Oryctolagus cuniculus: one gene and its partners. The protein of the gene in region 2 interacts with the protein of the main gene of each other region in a biochemical or structural test. Links are inferred from orthologs where the notes say so. Each region holds a gene or a part of one and is shown on either strand. Other genes may lie near its edges.

Region 1 (7,816 bases), on a different chromosome or scaffold from region 2:
ATCCTCATTAAATAATTTTTATTAGATTGGGGCCAGACTGGGGCCAGCACTGTGGCGCAGCAGGTTAACACCCTGGCCTGAAGCACCGGCATCCCAGTGGGTGCCGGTTCGAGACCTGGCTGCTCCACTTCCGATCCAGCTCTCTGCTATGGCTTGGGAAAGCAGTAGAAGATGGCCCAAGTCTTTGCGCCCCTGCACTCGCCGGGGCGGGGCGGGGGGGGGGGGACCCGGAAGAAGCTCCTAGCTCCTGGCTCCGGATCAGTGTGGCTCCAACTGTTGCGGCTGATTGGGCAGTGAACTGTCAGATGGAAGACCTTTCTGTCTTAAAAAAAATTTTTTTTATTAGAAACAGCACTTCTGGAAGAATTCTGACTAGCAGATAATTTAATTAGCATCGAAATGAGTTTTAAAACAAATATCAAATAAAGTTCATAAAATTTCATTTACAATTAAACCTGGGCTTAAACCTAATTTTAAGATTAATTCAGGGGCCAGCGCTGTTACACAGTGTGGTAAAGCCACCACCAACAGTGCTGGCATCCCATATGGGCGCTGATTCGAGTCCTGGATGCTCCACTTCCCATCCAGCTCTCTTCTATGGCCTGGGAAAGCAGCTGTGTGGGAGACCCAGAAGAAGCTCCTAGCTCCTGGCTTTGGATAGGCCCAGCTCTGGACATTGTGGCCGTTTGGAGAGTGAAGGAGTGAACCAGCAGATGGAAGACCTCTTTTTTTCTCTCTGCCTCTCCTCCTCTCTCTGTGTATAACTCTGATTTTCAAATAAATAAATAATTCTTTTAAAAAAAGATTAATTCATCAAATTTGAGAAGAAAGTTCCAATATTGAAATAACTTTTAAGCACTTTAATTTAAATAAACATCATGTGGCTGAACAGACAGGCCAGTGATTCCTGGACCACTTGAGACCTTCTGAATCAGGAAGTAATTGTATTGCTCAATAAAGATGGCAAACACAAGACAGGCCTTTGTCTGAACAGACTAGTATTACACTGAACAAGTGACTCTTTTTCTTTCTTTCCCATATAACTTTGAAAAATGCTATTTAAATATGAGGTACCTCAAAAGCTTGTGGAAAATGGATTAAATGCTAACTTTTGGTGCACACAAGTATTCATATTCATACATGTAGATTAATGATGATTACTTATAAAAACCTCTTTCTGATCTTTAAAGACCATATGAAACAGAAAAGGAAAAAGGTAGGGAATAAGATATTGTCTTGAAAAAATAAAATTTACCTAGGAGTCAACCATATAAAACCAAAAAAAAAATCACATTTAATAAAACAAAAAAAATATGAATCCAAAATTTAATTTTAATAGAATTTAAGGTAATTTGTTTTTCTAATATTACAACTATCTACATAATAAGGTACTAACTTAGATATCATTTTTGTTCCCTTTCAAAATCAAAAGATTAGTGCTTACGATTTTACAAGCTTAGACAAGTATACTGCTTACATATTTAAGATGCATTTTTAAAGTTCCTTTTAAAAATTATTAATTTCTTTGGCGGAAAAATTAAATAGTACTCATGAAAACAATATACCTGTTAGTATTATTATTACTATTTTAAAATATTTATTTATTTATTTATTTGAAAGTCAGAGTTACACAGAGGGGAGAGTGAGAGAGAGGTCTTCCATCTGATGGTTCACTGCCCAATTGGCTGCAACGGCTGGAGTTGAGCTGATCCAAAGCCAGGAGTCAGAAGCTTCTTCTGGGTCCCCTATGCAGGTGCCAGAGCCCAAGCATTTGGGCCAATTTGCACTGCTCTCCCAGGCCACAGCAGAGAGCCGCATTGGAAGAGGAGCAGCAGGACTAGAACTGGCGTCCATAAGGGATGCCGGCGCTGCAGGCAGAGGATCAACCTACTGTGCCATAGTGCCGGCCCCAAAAACATAACTTCTTTAAGAGAAGCTGAAACACAGTATGGCAATGGGAAAAATAATTTTATTTCTTCTGATGTCCTATAAATAAAGTATAACTATAATAATATAATCTGCTATTACAATTAGGAAATTACCCAGATTTTGAAAGGAATTAAATGAAGTTTTAGAAACAGAGTGTGTTGGTCAACTGAATAAGATTGCTAGGCTGGTCTACTTCAACAACTCTACATGTTATTGAGTAGCTATAACTTTACAACATAAATAGCTATATTTTTTTAGGAGAATCAGCGGGTTCTGTTGACTTTTTTTTGAAAAAATACAATGTTATTTGTTAATAAGCAACTTACTGGATTGAACTACTGCTTGAGTTTGTTCAGAGGTTCCAGATGCAATGTTCGTCAAAGCCCATGCAGCTTCAAACTGTAAAGAAGGACTACAAAACAAATAAACAAAAACAAATAACTTCAAACAGTAGTTATTTTCACATTGGTACAAATTTCTATCAACATCGCTGTCCACAAGTATTTTAAATATATTAAATATTTGTCTCTAAACATTCAGCATTTCTGAAACCTCCAAGGCCTTGTTTTCTCAAGTACCTACATGCTCAACCTAGTTCCTGTTAATTTTCAAAACTTAAACTAAGTCCCTCTTTGGCTTTTACCTTCATCTGTTGGCATAAATATAATTTGCATCATTTTTCCCATTCCTTTTGACTTTTCAATTCCATCCCATAGCTCCTGTCTTTTTTCTTTAAAGATCAAACTATCTACTAGAAAATCTTTCCTTCTCAAAGGGTACATACTAAATTAAAAACAAAGAACTTGTACTTACTTGTCATCTCTTTCAAGACAATGAACTAAAATAGGTAATATTCCAGATTTTATTAAGTCATCAATTGGTGGATTTCGATCACTGGACAAAAGCTTTCTGTAAGACATAATATATATGTATACATATAAGCTCCTTATGAAACTTGATGATACACAATATTAAAATGATCCAAATTCATATTTGACACTGTCATAAATCTGAATATTTGGTACAATTCTCAACTTGGAAATTTCATGTGAATTTGAAAGGCAGAATTACAGAAAAAGAGGGGAAAAGACAGAGATCTTCCATCTTCTGGTTCACTCCCCAAATGAATACAACAGCTGAGGATGGGCCAAGCTGAAGCCAGGAGCTTCATTCCAGTTTCTCACATGGGTGTAGGGACCCAAGCAATAGGGCCATCCTCCACTGCTTTCTGGGGCACATTAGTAGGGAGCTGGATTGGAACTGGAGCAGCCAGGACTGGAACCAGCACCCATATGGAATGCCAGTGTTACAGGTGGCAGTTTTACCCACTATGCCACAACATGGGTCCCTGAAAATATTTCATAACTTATTTAATGCAATCTTTTTGCTAATTTTATAAAAAGATTAATTTATGACTTAAATTTAGAGATGAATAAAAATTACAAAAATATCAATTATGAACCACTATTAGTACAATGTTATTCCTTAATGAGTCCTGAAGATAACTTATAAAAAGAAATTAAATATTTTATGTAAATTATTAATTTGAGAGGCAGAGAGACAGAGACAGAGAGAGACCTTCTATTAGCTGATTCATTTCCCCAAATGCCCTGAACAGCTGAAGCTAGGCCAGGCTAAAGCCAGGAGCCTAGCACTGAATCTGGGTCTTCCACATGGGTGGTAATGCCCCATGTACTTGAGCAATCACATGCTACCTCCCAGGGGGCACATTAGCAAGAACCTGAAATTGGAAGTGGAGGTGGGACTTGAATCTCCAGGCATTCTGATAGGAATTCAGGTGCCAAACGCCCACATCTACATGTTTTATATATGTTAGTATTACTTACTTTTGAGCTCAGAGAAGGAACTAGACAAACTCTATATAACACCTACCTTGCTAAGAAAGGAATTAAGAGATCACCAAAATATACAAAATTATTCACACTAGGTCACAACAGTCAAAAGACAAAAGACTTAAATTGCTGCTGTATTTTATTGCTGATATTCGTGTTCAATTCTTCATCCTACTCTACACTTAAAAAATTAAAGAGCATAAAAGCTCAACAACATTTTCATTTCAGCAACTAAAGAGAAATGGAGTAAGTACACCATCATACAGGGAAATACCTAAAGAGATGCTGGATATACTAAGGTAAATAATACACGTAGATTCCTGTCCTCATTGGGAAAAAAAAAAAAAAATCCAGTGTCTATTTTCAGATGTAGAAGATTGAAGGTTTAGCTGGTAATCCTCAGTGTGGCCTAACACAAATCTTTACCCAACTGGAATCCTCTGCACTACTATATGAAGGGAATTGTTTTAGAAAGCTTAACCTGATCATCCCCCTATATAAACTAAGAGATGGTTGCTTATTTTTACTTTATCAAGGTAAATTCTTTGACCTAGCTTTAAACTGCTCCACAAAAAGGCTGTCTTAACCTAACAAATCTTATTCTCTAAAACTCAATAATGTGTGGGTTGTATGTACCATTTCAATTTCATTTGCAGGCCCTTCGAATCTTACACCTCTTACTTTCCAGTTCAAGTAGTATGTTTTACACATCATCAATGAATTTCAAGAGTACTTACAGAGCCATAGTCCTACATTTGAATTGAATACCTTACCTACAGAGAATGAATTGTAACAAATGCTATGAAAAGTGTTTTTCCATACCACATGCTTATAAAGAATCTTAACCTAGTCTCTTTCAACTGAAGATCCATGAGACCAAGGGTCAAGATTTAACAAAAGATTTTTTTTTTACTCCTTCATTGAGGACATTTTGAAAGAGAAGTGGTTTTTATTCTTTGAGGGTATAATGCTGAATACAACATTATTTTATAAAGTTTGTTTGTGAGAAATGGTGACTTGATCAGCCCTCACCCTGACTGTTGATGAGCAACTTAATATGTTATCCCTCTTAGTATTTTTTTGTTTGTTCTACTTAATACTTTTGGTTGAATACTGTAATCAATACACAATTATTCTTAAGTGCTGAAACTTAACTGTAAAGTGATCGCTGTTAAATATAAGAGTGGGAATAAGCGAGGGAAGAGATGTGCAATTTGGGACATGCTCAGGCTGACTTGCCTCAAACGGTAGAGTTGGAAACATACCAGGGGATTCCAATTCAATCCCATCAGGGTAGCATGTACCAATGCCATCTCACTGGTCCCAGTGATCAGTTTCTGTTCATTATTGATCATAATGATGGGACTAAGAACCAAAGGGATCATATGGACAAGAATAGTGTCTGCAAATACTAGCTGATAGAATCAAAAAGGGAGAGAACGATCCAACATGGAAGGTGTGATGCACAGCAGACCCATAGAATGGCAGATGTCCTAAACAGCACTCTGACCTCAGAATCAGCCCTTAAGGCATTCAGATCTGGCTGAAATGCCCATGAGAGTATTTCAAGCATGGAAAGCCAAGACACTCTGGGGGGGAGGGGGGAACTACATGAAAGATCTCTGTGAGATCCCAGTGGAAAGAACGGGTCATCAAAGAAGGAGGTACCTTTCTCTGAAGGGAGGAGAGAACTTCCACTTTGACCATGGCCTTGTCTAAATATGATCAGAGTCGGTGAACTCAGGGGGCTTCCATAGCCTTAGCAGCTCATGACAAGAGCCTAGGGTGATTACTGAGGCCATGAACAAGAGTGTCAATTTGTTAAGTCAACAACAGGAGTCACTGTGCACTCACTCCTCATGTAGGATCTCTGACCTTAGTGTGCTGTACATTGTGATTTAATGCTATAACTAGTACTCAAACAGTATTTTTCACTTTATGTTTCTGTGTGGGAGCAAACTTGAAATCTTTACTTAATGTATGCTAAACTGATCTTCTGTATATAAAGAGAATCGAAAATGAAAAAAAAAAAAAAAAGTTTGTTTGGTGCCACTATCTTAAATTATACTAAGGTACCAGAAGTTTTAAATCTGTAAGTGCTTCTGCAACACCAACATAAAGGTTAGTACCACAAAAAAGGGCAAGTCAAGTCTCAGAATTATTGTGAAAACCAGACTATTCTTTCAGACTCCTGAAACTGTCTCAGGATCTCCCAAGGTTCCAGACAGTACTCTGAGAATCTCTGTTTCAGGGGCACTGGGCTTTAATTTTCATGCAGAACTCATGTTGGAAAGAATAGTCCATTAACTTGGACAACTGCGAGCATTAACTGATTTTTTATTTTTAAGACAACTTAAGTTTTTCTTAATATTTATTTATTTGTTTGAAAGGCAGGGTTACAGAAAGAGAGATCTTCTACCCACTAGTTCACTCCCCAAATGGCCGCAACGGACTGAAATGGTCAGATCTGAAACCAGGAGCAAGGATCTTCCAGATCTCCCATAATGGGTGCAGGGGCCCAATTATTTGGGCTGTCTTGCCCTGCTTTCCCAGATACATTAGTAGGGAGCTAGATTGGATATGGAGCAGTTGAGACTAGTGTGCATCCATATGGGATGCCAGCCTATGGCACAGTGTGGGTCCCCAAGCATAACCGATTCTTTATCATTCTTCGTATAAACATCAATTGCCATTTTGAGATATGAATAGTTCTATAATTCTTTCCTGCATGAAAAAGTCTTTAGAAGTTATTTTTATCTGTGGTACGTCTAACACTGTAATTCTATAATGTCCCTATCTGTTCTAGATTAAGGTAAATACACAAGGTAGGAAAAGTCAAATAATTATAAAAGGGATTCATTTACTAGACAAGACACTGGATGGGCCTATGTAATCTTTTTCTATTTAGAAATTTAAAAAAAAATTTTACTTATTTGAAAGGCAGTGGGAAAGAGTGGGAAAATGAAGGAGGGGGTGGATAGTAATCTTCCATCTAACGGTTTACTCCCTAAATGGCCACAATGATTGGGGCTGGGCAGGGCTGAACCCAGGAGCCTGGAACTACATCCAGAGCTCCCACATGGGCAGCAAGGGCCCAAACACTTGAGTCACCATCTGATGCCTTCACAGGCACATCAGCATGGAGCTGGATCAGATGCAGAGAAGCTGGGATGTGAATGGCACTCTGATAAAGGGATGCTTGCATTGCCAGAGTTGATTTACCTGGCTGTACCACAATCAGCCCCTATTATGAAACTCTGCAACTAGGATCAATTTCCTGTATAAGGTCTCTTTCCCACTGATAATCACAACATAAGGTATTATTCTTATATTCATAAATATACAAAGCAACCACTATGTTGTATTATGATACAACTGTATCTTTCTCAACCTATCTGTTTATGCAAAGATCTCAGTAGTTAACTTTTTCTGGCTCTTCCCTTAAAATATGAAACTTAAGTTTGTAACAGAAATGTGCAAGATAATTTGGTATTTCCAGCCGAGTTAGACACTGAGAGCATATGCACCTCTAAATCTTAATGTCTATTTGTCCATACACTGATGCAGTGAGTTCATAATTCTTTATGTACTGCTTGATTAATATAAACATTGTGAGAAGAATTAGCTACTTGGTTAACTGTTAGCAAAAGAAGCTTTGCAAATGATGTTTTTCTACCACTCTGTGGCACTGATCTGTCAAGTGACCTTTTTCCTATCATAATACCTATATATTATGCAGAATAAAGCTTCAATGTATTTAAAGTACACCTTTCAGCGCAGAAAATGTGTTGAAAGTACACAGTTCATTGCTAACAGTTTTAATACTCTGAATCAGAGAACATTTTTTTTAGGATAAATGATCTATGACTGTTTTCTATTATCTGCCATCAAAGCTAACACTGATTCATAGGATTACACATAGTTAACAACTCAAAATAAAACCTCTGTTCAAGTTTTAACTGAAACATGTCCTCAAAATTTAACTTACCTAGCAGCCTGAACTGCACTTAATTGAATTCCTTGGTTATCACTTG
Region 2 (7,816 bases):
TGTGCACCATGCCGCAACCCTGTCCCCTGGAGTGGGGTTTGTTTCAAGACTGATACTAAATCTCTGCGTTTCAGGCTTTCTCCAGCCTGGCTGAAGCTGCTTATGAGGCTGCAGATGTAGCTGATGATCAGGAGGAACCAGCCACCTATTGCTTATCTTCTTCATTTGAACTCATAGTTCAGAAGCTCCTGGAGACCACAGACAGGTAACTGATCTCCTGTACAGAAAGGTGTGATGTCTGGGTGCCCAACTCTGTTACACTGTGTGGAGAATGCGCAGCCTAATCACAGCAACATGAGACAGGAGCGCACTGTATCTGCTCTAGAGAGGTTGAAAGTACACTTAAGAAATTACTTGTTAGGCCGGCGCCGCGGCTCACTAGGCTAATCCTCCACCTTGCAGTGCCGGCACACTGGGTTCTAGTCCCCATCGGGGCGCCGGATTCTGTCCCGGTTGCCCCTCTTCCAGGCCAGCTCTCTGCTGTGGCCAGGGAGTGCAGTGGAGGATGGCCCAAGTACTTAGGCCCTGCACCCCATGGGAGACCAGGATAAGTACCTGGCTCCTGCCATCGGATCAGCGTGATGCGCCAGCTGCAGCACGCCGGCCGTGGCGGCCATTGGAGGGTGAACCAACGGCAAAGGAAGACCTTCCTCTCTGTCTCTCTCTCTCACTGTCCACTCTGCCTGTCAAAAAAAAAAAAAAAAGAAAAAAAGAAAAAAAGAGAAGAAAGAAATTACTTGTTTACAGGGGTGGGGAATGGCTAGCCCATGGACATATAAGTTCCATGAAATCATTTGGTCTGTACCTGCCAGGGCAACCACAGATGGGACTTGAAATTCAATAAATCTAGTTATTTATTAGCAAACTAATTTTTTAAGCAGGCTAATTTTTAAGTTGATAATTTTTAATTGTCTTCTAATGATATTACAAATACCCAGTGGCCCTTAACAGAAAAAAAGGGTTCTCTACTCCGAGTTTAGGTAAGAGTTGGGGTGGGGACTTGACCTAGCAGTTAGGATGCTGTATTCCGTATTGGAGCGCCTGGGTTTGAGTTTGATGCCTGGCTCGCTGTGGCTCCTGATTTCCAGCTTTCTGCTAAGGTGGTTCCTGAGATGCGGAAGTAATTGGGTTCTTACTGCCGTTTAAATGGGAGGCCTAGATTGAGTCCTTGGCTCCTGGACAAATCAAGATAGTGTCTGGCTCTCTACGAGAGTATACCCCACTTTTCTTCATTCACCAAGAGATGTCATTTTATACAATCTTGCACAGAGCAATGGGGAAGGACTAGTTAAACACGGAAGAATTTATGTCTGGTCCCTTCCTGATGGTTTACTTTTCAGTTCACACAAAACACAAAGATTAGAGGTTGTCCCTAAATTAGGATTCCATTACACATTTCAGAAAGCCCTATTTCAGACCTTTTGAGAGATACAGAGAGCTCCCAATCTGCTAGTTCACCCCAAATGCCCACAGTGGACAGGGCTGAAGCTGGAACCTGGAAGTGCAACCCAGATGCCCCACATGGGTGGCAGGAGCTTCACTGCGTGTGTGAACACCGCTGCCTTCCCGCATGTGCATGAGCAGGCAGCTGGATCCAGGAGCTAGAACTGGGGATGGAACCCAAGGACTCCAGGGTGCAACATGGGCACTTAAAACATTAATTTATGTGTTTGAAAGTCAAAATTAGAGAGGGAGAGACGTCGGGAGAGAGAGATCTTCTGTCAGCTGGTTCACTGCTTAAATGAACTCAGCAGCCTGGACTGGGCCAGGCCAAAGCCAGGAGCAAGGAGCTTCATCCGGTTTTCCCACATGAGAAGGGAGAGTAGGAGTGCTTTTCCAGGCACTTTAGCTTTTTTTTTTTTTTTTTTTTTTTTTGACAGGCAGAGGTTTTTTTTAGACAGTGAGAGAGACACAGAAAGGTCTTCCTTTTTCCGTTGGTTCACCCTCCAAATGGCTGCTGCAGCCGGCGCGCTGCGCCGATCTGAAACTAGAAACCAGGTGCCTCCTCCTGGTCTCCCATGCGGGTGCAGGGCCCAAGCACTTGGGCCATCCTCCACTGCCTTCCCGGGCCACAGCAGAGAGCTGGCCTGGAAGAGGAGCAACCATGACTAGAACCTGGGGTACCGGTGCCACAGGGGGAGGATTAGCCAAGTAGCCGCGTTGTCGGCCCTTTTTTTATTTGAGAGGCAGAGAGAACCTTCAATTTACTAGTTCACTCCCCAAATGGCTGCAACGGCCGAACCTGGCCTGATCCAAAGCCAGGAACCAGGACCTTTCTCCAGGTCTCCCATGTGGGCTCAGGGGCTCAAGGACTTGGGCCATCCTCCACTGCTTTCCCAGGTGCACAGGAATCTGGATTGGAAGTAAAAGCATCTGGGACTTGAACCAGCACCCATGGGATTCTGACACTGCAGATAGCGGCTTAACCCACTAAGGCCTCAGTGCCGGCCCTGCGACTTGGGCATTTTAACAGGTCTGGAGACCATAACCAACGTAGACATCGCTTGCAGAGACCTTTTCGGAAGTTGGATTCTTGGATATTTTGTTGCTAAATTCAAGCCTGGCCTCCAATCATGTCAGCCTGGGTTCTTACTTTTGGCCAGTGTCTATGTCATAACAGCTCCTCTGTCCTTTCTTAATCAGTTGAGGTTTAAAAACTTTGCTGTGTGTTCTGTGCAGACCTGATGGCCACCAGAACAACCTGAGGAGTTCTGCGTATGAATCTCTCATGGAGATCGTGAAAAACAGCGCCAAGGACTGCTACCCTGCAGTGCAGAAAACAACCCTGGTCATCATGGAGCGGCTGCAGCAGGTGCTTCAGATGGAGGTGAGTCAGCATCCCTGGCTGTTGGAGAGGGCAGCACCTTGGACACACGACTGTTTGGTGTTTCAGTATGTATTTTCTTAGAAAGATGTCATGCTATACAGAAACTATTACAACTTTACATAAGCATTACTTGGCACAGTTTACTCATGTGCATGTGGGTTATGTGTTTTTATTTGCTTTCCTACATTAGTATTAATAAAAATAACTTAATGGTCTCAGGAACCCTAACAAGAGTGGAAGGATTCTCTTTAGAACACGTTTTCTTTTTTTATCTTATAGTCACATATCCAGAGCACATCCGATAGGATCCAGTTCAATGACCTTCAGTCTTTACTCTGCGCAACTCTTCAGGTATGCTAGAGCTGTATCACTTCTTACTAGCTCAGAGGAAGAAACTGCGTGTCTCAGGATGACAAGTTCATGTACACAGAGAGCTGTGCAGTTGTGTAGGTGTAGATAGATGGTGCTGATCTGAAGCTCTCAGAAGGCTTTGGGCTGTGATTGATTGGAAGAGTAATTTCCTGTCTATCCAGAAAAATCAAGTTTGTCTTTTTCACAGTATAAAGAAGGAAATTACTTAGTGTGTGATGGTCTCTCCCAGCTGTACAGCTAGTTTATATTAGCTCCTTTTAGTCTTGGTTGTCATTAGGTTGTACAAACTAAAATTAGATTTGACTTCCAACTATGGTTTACTTGGCTACAAATATATATCTTTGAGTTTCTACTTTTGTCTTTGTTGTTGTTAAACAAATTTTACATTTTCTATGTCTTAAAAAAATATGTGAAAGGCAGAGTGACAGAGAGAGGGGTGCGGAGAGTGGTCTTCTGTCTGGAGGTTCACCCCCAGATGGCCACAACAATCAAGACTGGACCAGGCTGAGGCTTGGAGCATGGCACTGCATCTAGGTCTCCTGTGGGGGTGGCAGGGTCCTGTGCACTCGGGCCATCGTCTGCTGGCTTGTAGGGTGCACAGTAGCAAGAAGCTGGAATCAGAAGTGGAGCTGGGACTCAAACCCGAGCACTACAGAGAGCAGTGGGGCTTCCCAAGCAGTGTCTTAACCGCTGCACCAGACACTCGTCATCTTTTGAAGCAGTTGCTGTTGGAAGCTTCGTTATCGTTGTGTTCACAGTAGGCTTTTTTGAGTGACTGGGGAACTGAAACGTCGTTCTCTGCTTATGAAGTGGCTAAGGAGCTATTTCCTAATCTGCCACAGAACAGGAAAGTTCTGGAATATTCATTAATGCTAACAAGGTCATCTTACCTGTAAACTTTGCCTTTTTTTTTTTTTTTTTTTTACCCCATACTTCATTTTTTAAGGCATGATGGTTAAGAGATCTTCCTTTTTCTTTATTTATGTGAAAGGAAGAGTTACAGAGACAGATGCAGAGAGACAGAGAAAGATCTCCCGTCTGCTATTTCACACACACCCCCCACCCCACCCCCCCAGTGGCGGCAATAGCCTGAGCTGGGCCTATCTGAAGCCAGGAGCTTCTTCTGGGTCTCTCACACAGGTGCAAGGGCCCAAGATCTTGGGCCATCTTCTACTGCTTTCCCAGGCCATAGGCAGAGAGCTGGATCAGAAGTGGAGCAGCCCGGACTTGAACTTGCACCCATATGGGATGCTGGCCCTGCAGGTGGTGGCTTTACCCACTGCGCCACAGTGCCAGCCTCCTGGGATCTTCCTTTTTCATCAGAGAAAATACAGGACTGCTTGATCTGGTAACATTAGGTGAGGCACATGGAAGAGTACCCTGGAGTGTGATGAGTATGGCTTGGGAGAAGTCAGACTGGCTTCATTTTTATCCAGACTGTTTTTTGACTGCTATCTGTATGTGGGTTGGAGTGTAAGAAGGCTTGTTTTTTATTTATGAGTGATGTAACCTTTAAAACAAATTGTTACTCCAGTAAGGCTGGAATATGGAAACTACTAGCAGTTTTTCAGGTGGTGGGACTAAGTGGGTTTTGTTTTGAGTCAAGAAATAGAATCTGGGGCTGGCATTGTGGCATAGCCACCATAGGTTAAGCCACTGCCTGTGACACCAGCATTCGATAAGGGCACCAGTTCAAGTCCTGGCTGCTCCACTTAAAATACAGTTCCCAACTGATGGCACCTGGGAAAGTGGTGTGCCCCTGCACCCATGTAAGGGACCTGTAAGAAGCTCCAGGGTCCTGGCTTTGGCCTGGCACAGCTCTGGCCATTGTGGCCATTTGGGGGGGAGTGAACCATTGGATGGAAACTTACTCTCCGTTTCTCTCTTACTGCCTTTCAAATATATTTATAAAAAATAAATAAATAAATAAACAGAATCTGAGATACTAGAGTGAGCATTGTAATGCATATTTGCACTGTCAAAGTTCTTAAGTTAAAGTGTATATTTGATCTTCCAAAAATGAACAAAGGACTTAATTTATTTTGAAAGCAAAAGGTATAGTGTTGTGGTTGAAGGATTTGGAGTTAATGGATCCTGAATTCTTACTTACTTCACAGAATGTACTCCGCAAAGTGCAGCATCAAGATGCCTTGCAGATCTCTGATGTGGTCATGGCTTCCCTGTTGAGGATGTTCCAGAGCACAGCTGGGTCTGGGGGAGTGCAAGAGGATGCCCTGATGGCAGTTAGCACACTGGTGGAAGGTTAGTGAGCAGGGACTGGGCAGGTGGTTTCTGTAGAAGGTAGGCGTTTGAGTGGCCTTGGAGAATTTTTTTCTTTTTTACTGCAAAAAGCGTAGATCTTTCACTGGGGTGTGAGTTGGTTCAAAGTTGGATTGAACCTGAGTGATTGCCTTGCCACTCTTAAGGTAAACGGGGCGCCAGTTTGCAGCTAAGTCAGATTGGTGGAAACTGAATTAATTCTCCCGTGTTCATCAGGTTCCTTCTTACCCTGAAAGTCAACTTACTTTATTGATGTTTGGCGCCTGTCAAGGGTGGAAGAAGTGAAAGTTCTCTCCTTCTCTGGCACTTGGAAGCCCCTGGTTTGGGCAGTAGTGCTTTGTGTTCACAGTGCCTGGGATGCCATAGGATGAAACATTGAACGTGCTGTAGGAATTCGGCATGGGGAAGCAAAAGCACATTAAAGAGCACTTTAGAAACCTAGAACATCTCTTCAGGGGTGACCTGCAAGTATTTTACTAAGGCCGTGCCCTGAGGAGGACTCTCCTGAGGTTCAGACCTACTTCTGGTGCGCAGAGCTTATGTCCAACTGAACTGGCATAATGTGACTGCCCTTAGAGGGCAAGGAAGTTAATCTTGGCTCCTGGAGTGGCTGATTCGTATCCAAAGGCCAGTGCTGCTTTTCTTGGCTGTGGCTTGTTAAGTGCTCGATGGGATTGCCTGGGGACCCTGTTTTGAAGCTAGCCTTAGGGCATGTGTTGTGATTAGCTGCCGAGACAAGAGGCCTTATTGCTGGCTCAGCCAGTTCACAGCTAACCTCCATCCTGTGTGAGGGCCCTACCACTTGGTTGTCTCAGCCAGCTAAAACCCCATCCTGCAGAGCACTGGCTGTGGTGTTATCTCGAGGGCCTAAGAATTAGGCCTTTCCAGCAGTTGTAAACTTGGCTTGTGCAAGACAGCCTTACTGTCTTAGAATAATTAACTCTCACTCCACCCTGCCATGTTGAGTAAGACTTAGGATGGTCATTTTTGTCTACATCTGCCGTCCTGTGATGCAGTCTTCAGCTAACAGTTTGTTTCATTACAGTGTTGGGTGGTGAATTTCTCAAGTACATGGAGGCCTTTAAACCCTTCCTGGGCATTGGATTGAAAAATTATGCTGAGTACCAGGTAGGATATGCTTTTGACATTTATGCAAGAGTCACTGTAGAACAGACAGCAGCAGGTTTCTGTAGCCTACATGGTTTCCCCAGCTTTGCTCCAAAAGTCCAGCTACCTTATTTGTTGCCTCTGTCTGAACAAGGAGTAGGCTGTGAAAAACAGGGTGTTGGCTACACCACGTGAGAAGCACAGAGCGAATGTCTAGGTAGTGTAAAGGCAACGGCAGAGTTACACTCTGAAGCACCCTAAAGAGGAAGGCTTTTTGAAACACCCCCCCACCTTGGTCTGCCACCGCCATCCCTGGTGAATATTGTCTTTCCTTACTCAGTGGTGTCTGGGAATAGTCCTAGTTTCCTTCCTGCCACATTGGTCTTAATCTCAGCAAGGGGGGAATAAGTTCAGGTGATGCAGGACCAGCAGCTGGGTAAAACTAATGTCTTCCCGTGCAGGCAGCTTTTTCTGTCAGGCCGATTATTTCCTTGGTTCTCTGCAGGTGTGTTTGGCAGCTGTGGGCTTGGTGGGAGACTTATGCCGTGCCCTGCAGTCCAACATCTTGCCTTTCTGTGACGAGGTCATGCAGCTGCTGCTGGAGAACTTGGGGGTGAGTGTCTGCGCATGCTCAGGAGCCAGCCTGGAGAATCCCATCGTCATGTTCACGATGATTCCAGTGAAAGGTTGTAAAGGATGCCTGCTTCACTTGGGGGGAAGCTGTCGATTACCAAGGAAAAGTAAACACATAATCTCTGCAGAGATGAACCACAGTTAATTTTTGAAGGGGCATTCAAGTACTTAGTAGTAGTTGCTTATTACAAATGAAAGTTTTGGGCCGGCGCCGCGGCTCACTAGGCTAATCCTCCGCCTAGCGGCGCCGGCACACCGGGTTCTAGTCCCGGTTGGGGTGCCGGATTCTGTCCCAGTTGCCCCTCTTCCAGGCCAGCTCTCTGCTGTGGCCCGGGAGTGCAGTGGAGGATGGCCCAGGTGCTTGGGCCCTGCACCCCATGGGAGACCAGGAGAAGCACCTGGCTCCTGGCTCCTGCCATCGGATCAGCGCGGTGCGCCAGCCGCAGCGCGCTGGCCGCGGCGGCCATTGGAGGGTGAACCAACGGCAAAGGAAGACCTTTCTCTCTGTCTCTCTCTCTCACTGTCCACTCTGCCTGTCAAAAAATAAAAATAAAATTAAAAAAAAAGGAAAGTTTTATGAGTCTTTTGACTGAAAAA
Region 3 (7,816 bases), on a different chromosome or scaffold from region 2:
CAAATGCTACCTTTCAAATAAATACATCTTAAAAAAAAAAAAAAAAAGGAGTAATAGTGTCTATTAAAAAGCAATGTCAATCTCTAGAAAAGTGACCTTCACAACCAATGTTTACAAAGTATGGACTAATGTGTTTTGGAAAATCTTCTTAGAATCCTAATAGTAGAGAAGAGAAATATACTTCAGTCATTTAACAACACTGTATGCTAATAATTTTCTTTCTAATCAATTGACCTTAAAGGAACTAATATTTCAGAATTCTAGTGCTTAAGGATTTGTCTTCAATCAATCCACTCTTACCTCCACATTCTTCTATTATTTCAGCTATTGTGCTTGCTTCATCACCAGCCATGATGAGGATGTTTTTGAGACCATCTAGAACCACCTGGACAACTTGAGAATCTTTTACTGACAGTAAGTTGCAGAAAGGTGGTATTACGTTCTGCTGTACAAGGTACTCAACCTAGACAACAGAAGAGAAGCATTTTTATTTACATAATTACCTTGCCCCCAAAAAGGCCACAGGACAGAGCTTAAAAACAATTTGCAACTCCTAAACATCATAATAGTATATTTTCCACTATTAAAATGAGAGTTTTGTCAAACTCACTTGATCTTTTCTGCCACTTATTGTTAAGTTGCTAATTGCCCAAGCAGCTTCTTTTTGTGTTCCAAAGTCCCCCTGAAGGTTGAAAAAAGAAATCATAAAATGAATTCTTTGTCCAAAAAGCCTTGGTTGTAACAGCAAAGCAAACACGAAGGAACTCATGATATAACTGACCTTAGCAAGCTGATGAATAATCATAGGGATTAATCCAGCATCTATTACAGCTTGAACTTGTTGCTGGTTGCCTGCTGTTATGTTGGAAAGGAACCATACTGCTTCCTAATTGAATAAAATACAGGTCACTTTAATGAGAGAAATCATATCTTTAATGCTTTTATATTTTTATTTTAAGATATCTTACATACACAGTAACAAAGCTGCCCATGTTAAAGAGACTGCATCTAAAAAGGATTAGGTTATATAAAGCTTCTCATTTTAAGCGAGTTACAAGCAAACTTCCATCTATAATATTTGGGTCTCGTATATCTGGTCTTAATCATTCAATAATATGTAAGTCCACTAGCCACCAGGCATTTCTCTAGAGAATGATGATATAGGAGAAAACAAAACATAAAAATCTCTATGGAGCTTATATTTCTTTATATTAGCTCCCTCTGAAAGACAGAAATAAACATAAGATTGAATTTCTGAATACTATGTTAAATAAAGCTGCTTTGCTTTACAAACATTTAGTCACAAGAAATACTAATTCAACTATTCTACAGAAACTAAGCATCTAACTAGTCTAAGATGTATTTATAGAATACAAATATTCAAATCGTAAAGGACTTGCAAGCCACAGATAGGTGTATTATAATATTAGTTACCATTAGTCAAGTAGGCATCTCATACATACTTATTCCTTTCCCCCTATGATACTTTCATTTAAGGACATACTGTATCACAGAGCAAAACCTCTCTCTACTTACTTCTATCTGGCTTCCTCATTTCTTAGCTGTTTCCAATTATGGATACACTCAGCTATAACAATCACCTTATATTGTGGAAAATTCTATAGTAAAAAATAATTGGCCTAGAGTCTCAAAGTTTCTGGTTTCATCATCTTCACTGAACAACTGTATCTATAAATGATTTTTGACAACCTTCTTTTCATTAAAAATCTAGCCGTCAAAATATAGTCAAGCAACTATTTTAATTATTAGATAATTAATATTTAATTATGAAACAGAGGAAGAAATGATCAATTCTGCTTTGTTTGGGGAATGGCAGCAATTTAGGCAGATAAAACTACATTGAGGGCCGGCGCCGTGGCTCACTAGGCTAATCCTCCGCCTTGCGGCGCTGGCACACCAGGTTCTAGTCCAGGTCGGCACGCCGGATTCTGACCCGGTTGCCCCTCTTCCAGGCCAGCTCTCTGCTGTGGCCCGGGAGTGCAGTGGAGGATGGCCCAAGTCCTTGGGCCCTGCACCTGCATGGGAGACCAGGAGAAGCACCTGGCTCCTGCTTCGGATCAGCACGATGCACCGGCCGCAGCGCGCTGGCCGCGGCGGCCATTGGAAGGTGAACCGATGGCAAAGGAAGACCTTTCTCTCTGTCTCTCTCTCTCACTGTCCACTCTGCCTGTCAAAAAAAACAACAAAAAAAACAAAAAAACAAAAAAACAAAACTACATTGGGGCCAGCACCATGGATCAGTAGGCTAAGCCTCCGCCTTCAATGCTGGCATCCCATATGGGTGCCAGTTAGTGTCCTGGCTGCTCCTCTTCTGAGCCAATTCTCTGCTAATGGCCTGGGAAAGCAGTAGAGGATGGATGGTCCAAGTGCTTGCACCCCTGCACCCACGTGAGAGACCGGGGCGAAGCTCCTCACTCCGGATTGGCCCATTCCAGCCATTGTGGCCACATGGGGAGTGAAACAGTGGATGGAAGAATTTTCTGTCTCTCCTTCTCTCTATCTCTACCACTCAAATAAATAAATAAATAAAAAGAAAGGAATGAAGTTCTGACACATGCTACAAAATGAATGATTCTGAAAATACGCTATGTGAAGAAAGCCACACATAAAAAGAATTAAGTATTACAAAATTAACAATAGATTTATATATAAAGTTTGAAATCTTAAAAAGTAACAGTTTCTTATGACCTTTGAATTTAGGATCTCCACTTTAGATCTCAATTTTATAGGGAGATTAAATTCTCTCTTTAAGAATGGATACCATTGGGCCGGTGCTGTGGCGCAGCAGGTTAACGCCCTGGCCTGAAGCGCTGGCATCCCATATGGGCGCCGGTTCTGGACTCGGCTGCTCCACTTCCAAACCAGCTCTCTGCGATGGCCTGGAAAAGCAGCAGAAGATGGCCAAAGTCCTTGGGCCCCTGCACCCACATGGGAGACCTGGAAGAAGCTCCTGGCTCCTGGGTGCTGGCTTCGGATCAGCACAGCTCTGGCCATTGAGGCCAACTTGGGGAGCAAACCATCGGATGGAAGACCTCTCTCTCTTTTTCTCTCTGTAAACTCTGACTTTCAAATAAATAAATAAATAAATCTTAAAAAAAAAAAAAAGAATGGATACCATTCATTTCAGTGGCAGATTTTCTATGCTCGCTCACCTAGGGCTACCAATTTAATGCTGTGTCTACTCCTCAATCTATTTAAATATAAAGCCTAGCACTTAACACATCAGTTAAGACACCTGCATCCTATATGAGTCTCAATACGCAGCTCCAGTTTCTGACTCCAGCTTCCTGCTAATGTACATGCTGGGAGGCAAGAGTGGTGGCTCAAGTAAACGAGTTCCTGCCACCCACGGGGGAGCCCTGGGTTGAGTTCCCAGCTCCTGGCTTCAGCTCAGCCCAGCTCAGCCTCAGCCTCAGAAGGCATCTGGGGAGTCAATCAGGGGATGGAAGTGCTCCCTTTATCACTGATTCTCAATAAATATTTTTTTAATTAAAAAAATTGAGAGCCGGCGCCGTGGCTCAATAGGCTAATCCTCCACCTTGCGGCGCCGGCACACCGGGTTCTAGTCCCGGTTGGGGCGCCGGATTCTGTCCCGGTTGCCCCTCTTCCAGGCCAGCTCTCTGCTATGGCCAGGGAGTGCAGTGGAGGATGGCCCAGGTGCTTGGGCCCTGCACCCCATGGGAGACCAGGAAAAAGCACCTGGCTCCTGGCTCCTGCCAGGATCAGCGCGGTGCGCCGGCTGCAGCGGCGGCCATTGGAGGGTGAACCAGCGGCAAAGGAAGACCTTTCTCTCTCTGTCTCTCTCTCTCACTGTCCACTCTGCCTGTCAAAAAAAAAAAAAAAAAAAAAAAAAAAATTGATCTAAAAATACTTTTTATTCTGTGATAATCCGGGAACCTCTTAGAGGAAAAATTTAAAGTTCAAAAAACCATGCCTCTCAAATAAATTTTAAAAAAGTTCAAAGAAACAATTACAGATGGCATTTAAAACAATTCTCATCTTAATTACAGTGGTTTTGAAGAAAATTAGTCAAATGAATATCAAAGAAACAAGGGGACAGTTAAAAACGAGGTGAACAAAAAACAAGAAATATAATGATGAGGACATTACATGTCTTACCTTATTTATTTTCTCTTTCGGATGTGATAAGAGATTTGGGAAGTGTGACAGGACATCACAATTGAGAACAACCTGCGTCTGCTCATCAGTGCCGGTCACTATATTGCCAACTGCTCTGAGTGCTGCCGTCTAGAGTGGGGATAAAATGTTCTCTAAGTTTGTTTGTTTATGATGAAACTGAGTCAATGTGTTTCATAATTCTGAGAAAATGTAAAAACGCAAAGGGTAAACGATGAACACTTTCTTCATTCTCAGACTAGGCATCAAGCAGACTGAGCAGCTGTGAATTTTAAACAGCAATCCCACAAGAAAAAAATGGAACTTTATGGAGAAACTATGTGAAAATTCTTGCAAAAAATTTAAAAAGAGGGGAATTAAAATAAAAACCAAATATTTATTTTTAAACAGCAATTTTTACCTATTACTAAATTGGCACCACAAAAAGATGTTAAAAGAAGAGCTGCAGTCACTTTAGCAGAAGTAGGGCAGTAGCAGCTATCAGAATTATCAGAAGTATAAAAAAATACACAAAACATGAATCTTGCACTAAATAGCAGCTCAATACAGGTAAGGAGAGGCAGATTTGAAAGCTATACCAAAAAATAATAATCATAAAAGACTTGATAATGGAATGTAAAATAAAAAAAGAATTCAGGGTTTTTAACTTAGACCACGCTATTCACTGAAAGGGGATACAGGAAGAGGAACAGGTTCATGGGAGAAGATCATTTCAATTTTGTCTGGTTGGAATACAATGGAAAGCTTGTAGGATTTCTCAGAGGATGTCTAAATGGTCAGAATCAACTAGCTATGAGTCTGAAATCCAGCAAACAATCTGAGGGAGACAAATATTTGGAAATCAACAAAATCATCATAAGGGACTATGGGAAAAATCTGGAAAATAAGTGTTTATAGACAGAATTTAAGCACAGTTGTATAAATTAACTAATTATAGCAGCCATAATTCTATACAAGTAAAAAAGATTTAAAATACTCACTTGAACTTTCACTTCCTGGTGGCTCAGAAGGGGCACAAGAAATGGCACAACCCCAGAATCAATAACCATCTGTATCTGCTCATTACCTCCATCTGTCAAGTATGATAGAGCCCAAACAGTGTCTACAAGAATCTACAGGAAGGAAAGCAGAATATCCAGTTCATGTATTTGTTTCAATGCCTAAACTACAGAACATATCTCAGAAGTGGTGACAGAAAAGGTAACCAAGTTTTATCTTTCGGCATGTAAACAAAAATATCAATCTACTGAAAGTAGTAGGTCCTTACACCCTCTCTCAAAGTCCGTATCAGATCACTCTGCACAAAATTGACACATAGAAGTCTGGGACAACTTTTATCCCATCTTAGCATTTATGTATTAGACAAATCATTTTAAAAATAGGCAGAGGGGCAGGTGTTGTGGTGTAGTAGGTTAAGCCACTGTTTGGGAAACCTGTGTCCCATATAAGAATGCTTGATACCAGTCTTGGCTTCCTATCCAGCTTCCTGCTAATGACCGTGGGAGGTATCAGTGATGGCCCAAATAGTCGGATTTCTGCTTCCCAAGAAGCAGACCAAATGGAATTCTTGGCTTATGGCTTCAACCTATGCTAACCCAGCTGTCCTTGCAGAATGAACCAGCGGATCAAAGATCTCTCTCTCTCTCTCCCTGCTCTGGCACTCTGCCTTTCAAATAAATCTTACAAAACAAAAAAAGAAAAAAGGCAGAACAGAAATTCTTTCCGCTCCCGAAGTCAGAAACCAAATAATGACATGAAAACATATAAAGAATGAGGTCAATGCAACATGCTACTTCAAGTCTAGAAGACACTAAAAAGATTATGTACCTATTCTACTGATTTTCAAATGCTTAGTAATTCAACTTTGCAGACTATTAAAAACTAAACAGATAAATATCTCTGCTTTTTAAATAAATAAATAATTAATTATTTAAAAAAAAAAAAAAAACTAGGCTCAGAGACTTCATGAACTCATTCAACATAAAGGAGTTTGTACATGGCTTTCCTTGGTGTCTTCATAGAGGAATACAACCACCAGCCTCGTCTCATGTAAGATTCGTATTATTGACACTTTGCTGCCCTAGAACAATAGCAGCCACCTGAAATCATGTATCCTTCAAAAAAGCATATAAATAAGAAGAGCAAATAAAACCATATACAACCCAAGCCTTCAGCATTACTGCAAGTCAGAATACTAGAAATTTCAAATTACCTGTAAGGAAAGAAAAAAATGAATTCTAGTTTTTGTTTGAACCTCCTGTCCTAAGCTCTGTGTGAGACTTCAAAGAAGAGTGAGGAGTTTATCTCAGAAGGCCAGAGACTGGGGGCTGATGTTGTGGCCTGCAGTGTCAGCATCCTTTATCGCGCCAGTCGGAGTCCCAGCTGCTCCACTTCCAATTCAGCTCCCTGTTAATGTGCTTGGGAAGGCAGCGGAAGACAGCCCAAGTGCTTGGGCCCCTGAACCCATGTGGGAGATCCGGAAGTTCCTGGATACTGGCTTCAGATCAGCCCAGCTCCGGCCACTGCAGCCATTTGGAGAGTGAACCAGCAGCTGGAAGATCAATCTCTCTAACTCTGCCTTTCAAATAAATAAATAAATCTTAAAAGAGCGGGGTGGGGGGGGCACACAAAACTGTACCCTGCAAAGCCAAAAACATTAGCTCTACCTTTATCCAAAACCTTACTAGAGTATAAGCTTCTTTCATCTAACAAATGACTGAGGAAACGTCAGTGGGAGTCTGATGGTGAGCATTTAATACATCTGATCGTAGATCAAGGGCTGGAAAAATATTTCAACTTAAAAAATGAGAGGGCAAAAGCTATGCCTAAGAGTAGAGTTCATTTACTACTCCATGTGGCAGTGAGAAGGTCTCCCAGCCAGGGGTATACAGGTGCGTAGGTGTGAACAAAGCCTGGCTACCAACCACTCTGGCAGTTACAGGTAACAAGATTTACACAGAAACCACAGTCAGACAACCTAACACCTCAAACATACAGCCACACTGAAAACTACTACCATATCAAGAGTCAGAAAAAATCTCAACACAAAAGAGGAAAGGCAATCAACAGACGCCAACCCAGAAATGACATAGGACACTGGACAAGGACTTTCAAATAACTATCAAACAAATGCTTCAGTGAGCAATTATGAATATATCTAAACCAAAGGTAGGCAGTTTCAGAAAAGAAAAAAATACAGGGGAAAAAAATCAATGAACTCAAACTCAGAGCAATAAAAGCCATCCGATCTTAGTAATAGAAAAAGAAGGAATGAAAAGATGAAAATGAACAGAGCCTCAGGAACTTTTAGCACAATATCATTAGATCTAACAAATGCCATCCGGGCCCCTTCTAATAAGCGGAACTGGAAAAAATATTTGAAGAAACAATGGTGAAAAATGTCCCAAGTGTGGCAAAAAACATAAACCTAAAGATTCAAAAATGAGAGTATGAGCTGAGAAAAAATGGAATAAGCTCCATTGATCATTGTACAGGTAACAGGAATAAAAAAATACCATATAAAATCATTAAAACTGGGTGGGAATTGTGGCACAGCAAATTAAGCCATCACTTGGTATACCCATGTCCCATGTGGGAATGCCTTGGGTAGTTTCCAGCAAATGCACTTGGGAGATCCCGATTAAGTTCCTAGCTCCTG

Evidence for each region. The genes of interacting proteins can lie anywhere in the genome.
Region 1: the proteins of KPNB1 (region 2) and KPNA4 form a complex in vitro, tested with the Homo sapiens proteins (2 studies listed by BioGRID and IntAct, with this or other methods). The link is inferred for Oryctolagus cuniculus from reciprocal best matches to the Homo sapiens genes KPNB1 and KPNA4.
Region 3: the proteins of KPNB1 (region 2) and KPNA3 form a complex in vitro, tested with the Homo sapiens proteins (2 studies listed by BioGRID and IntAct, with this or other methods). The link is inferred for Oryctolagus cuniculus from reciprocal best matches to the Homo sapiens genes KPNB1 and KPNA3.

Annotation. Positions count from the first base shown.
Region 1 is NC_091435.1:120,213,294-120,221,109, reverse strand, and holds part of KPNA4 (importin subunit alpha-3), read right to left. Parts: coding exon 7,771-7,816; intron 2,839-7,770; coding exon 2,743-2,838; intron 2,342-2,742; coding exon 2,256-2,341; intron 1-2,255. UniProt on the Homo sapiens protein: Functions in nuclear protein import as an adapter protein for nuclear receptor KPNB1. Binds specifically and directly to substrates containing either a simple or bipartite NLS motif.
Region 2 is NC_091448.1:24,007,889-24,015,704, forward strand, and holds part of KPNB1 (importin subunit beta-1), read left to right. Parts: intron 1-74; coding exon 75-205; intron 206-2,679; coding exon 2,680-2,827; intron 2,828-3,106; coding exon 3,107-3,178; intron 3,179-5,316; coding exon 5,317-5,461; intron 5,462-6,524; coding exon 6,525-6,607; intron 6,608-7,091; coding exon 7,092-7,199; intron 7,200-7,816.
Region 3 is NC_091440.1:69,011,007-69,018,822, forward strand, and holds part of KPNA3 (importin subunit alpha-4), read right to left. Parts: intron 5,271-7,816; coding exon 5,139-5,270; intron 4,270-5,138; coding exon 4,141-4,269; intron 887-4,140; coding exon 782-886; intron 683-781; coding exon 611-682; intron 464-610; coding exon 301-463; intron 1-300. UniProt on the Homo sapiens protein: Functions in nuclear protein import as an adapter protein for nuclear receptor KPNB1. Binds specifically and directly to substrates containing either a simple or bipartite NLS motif.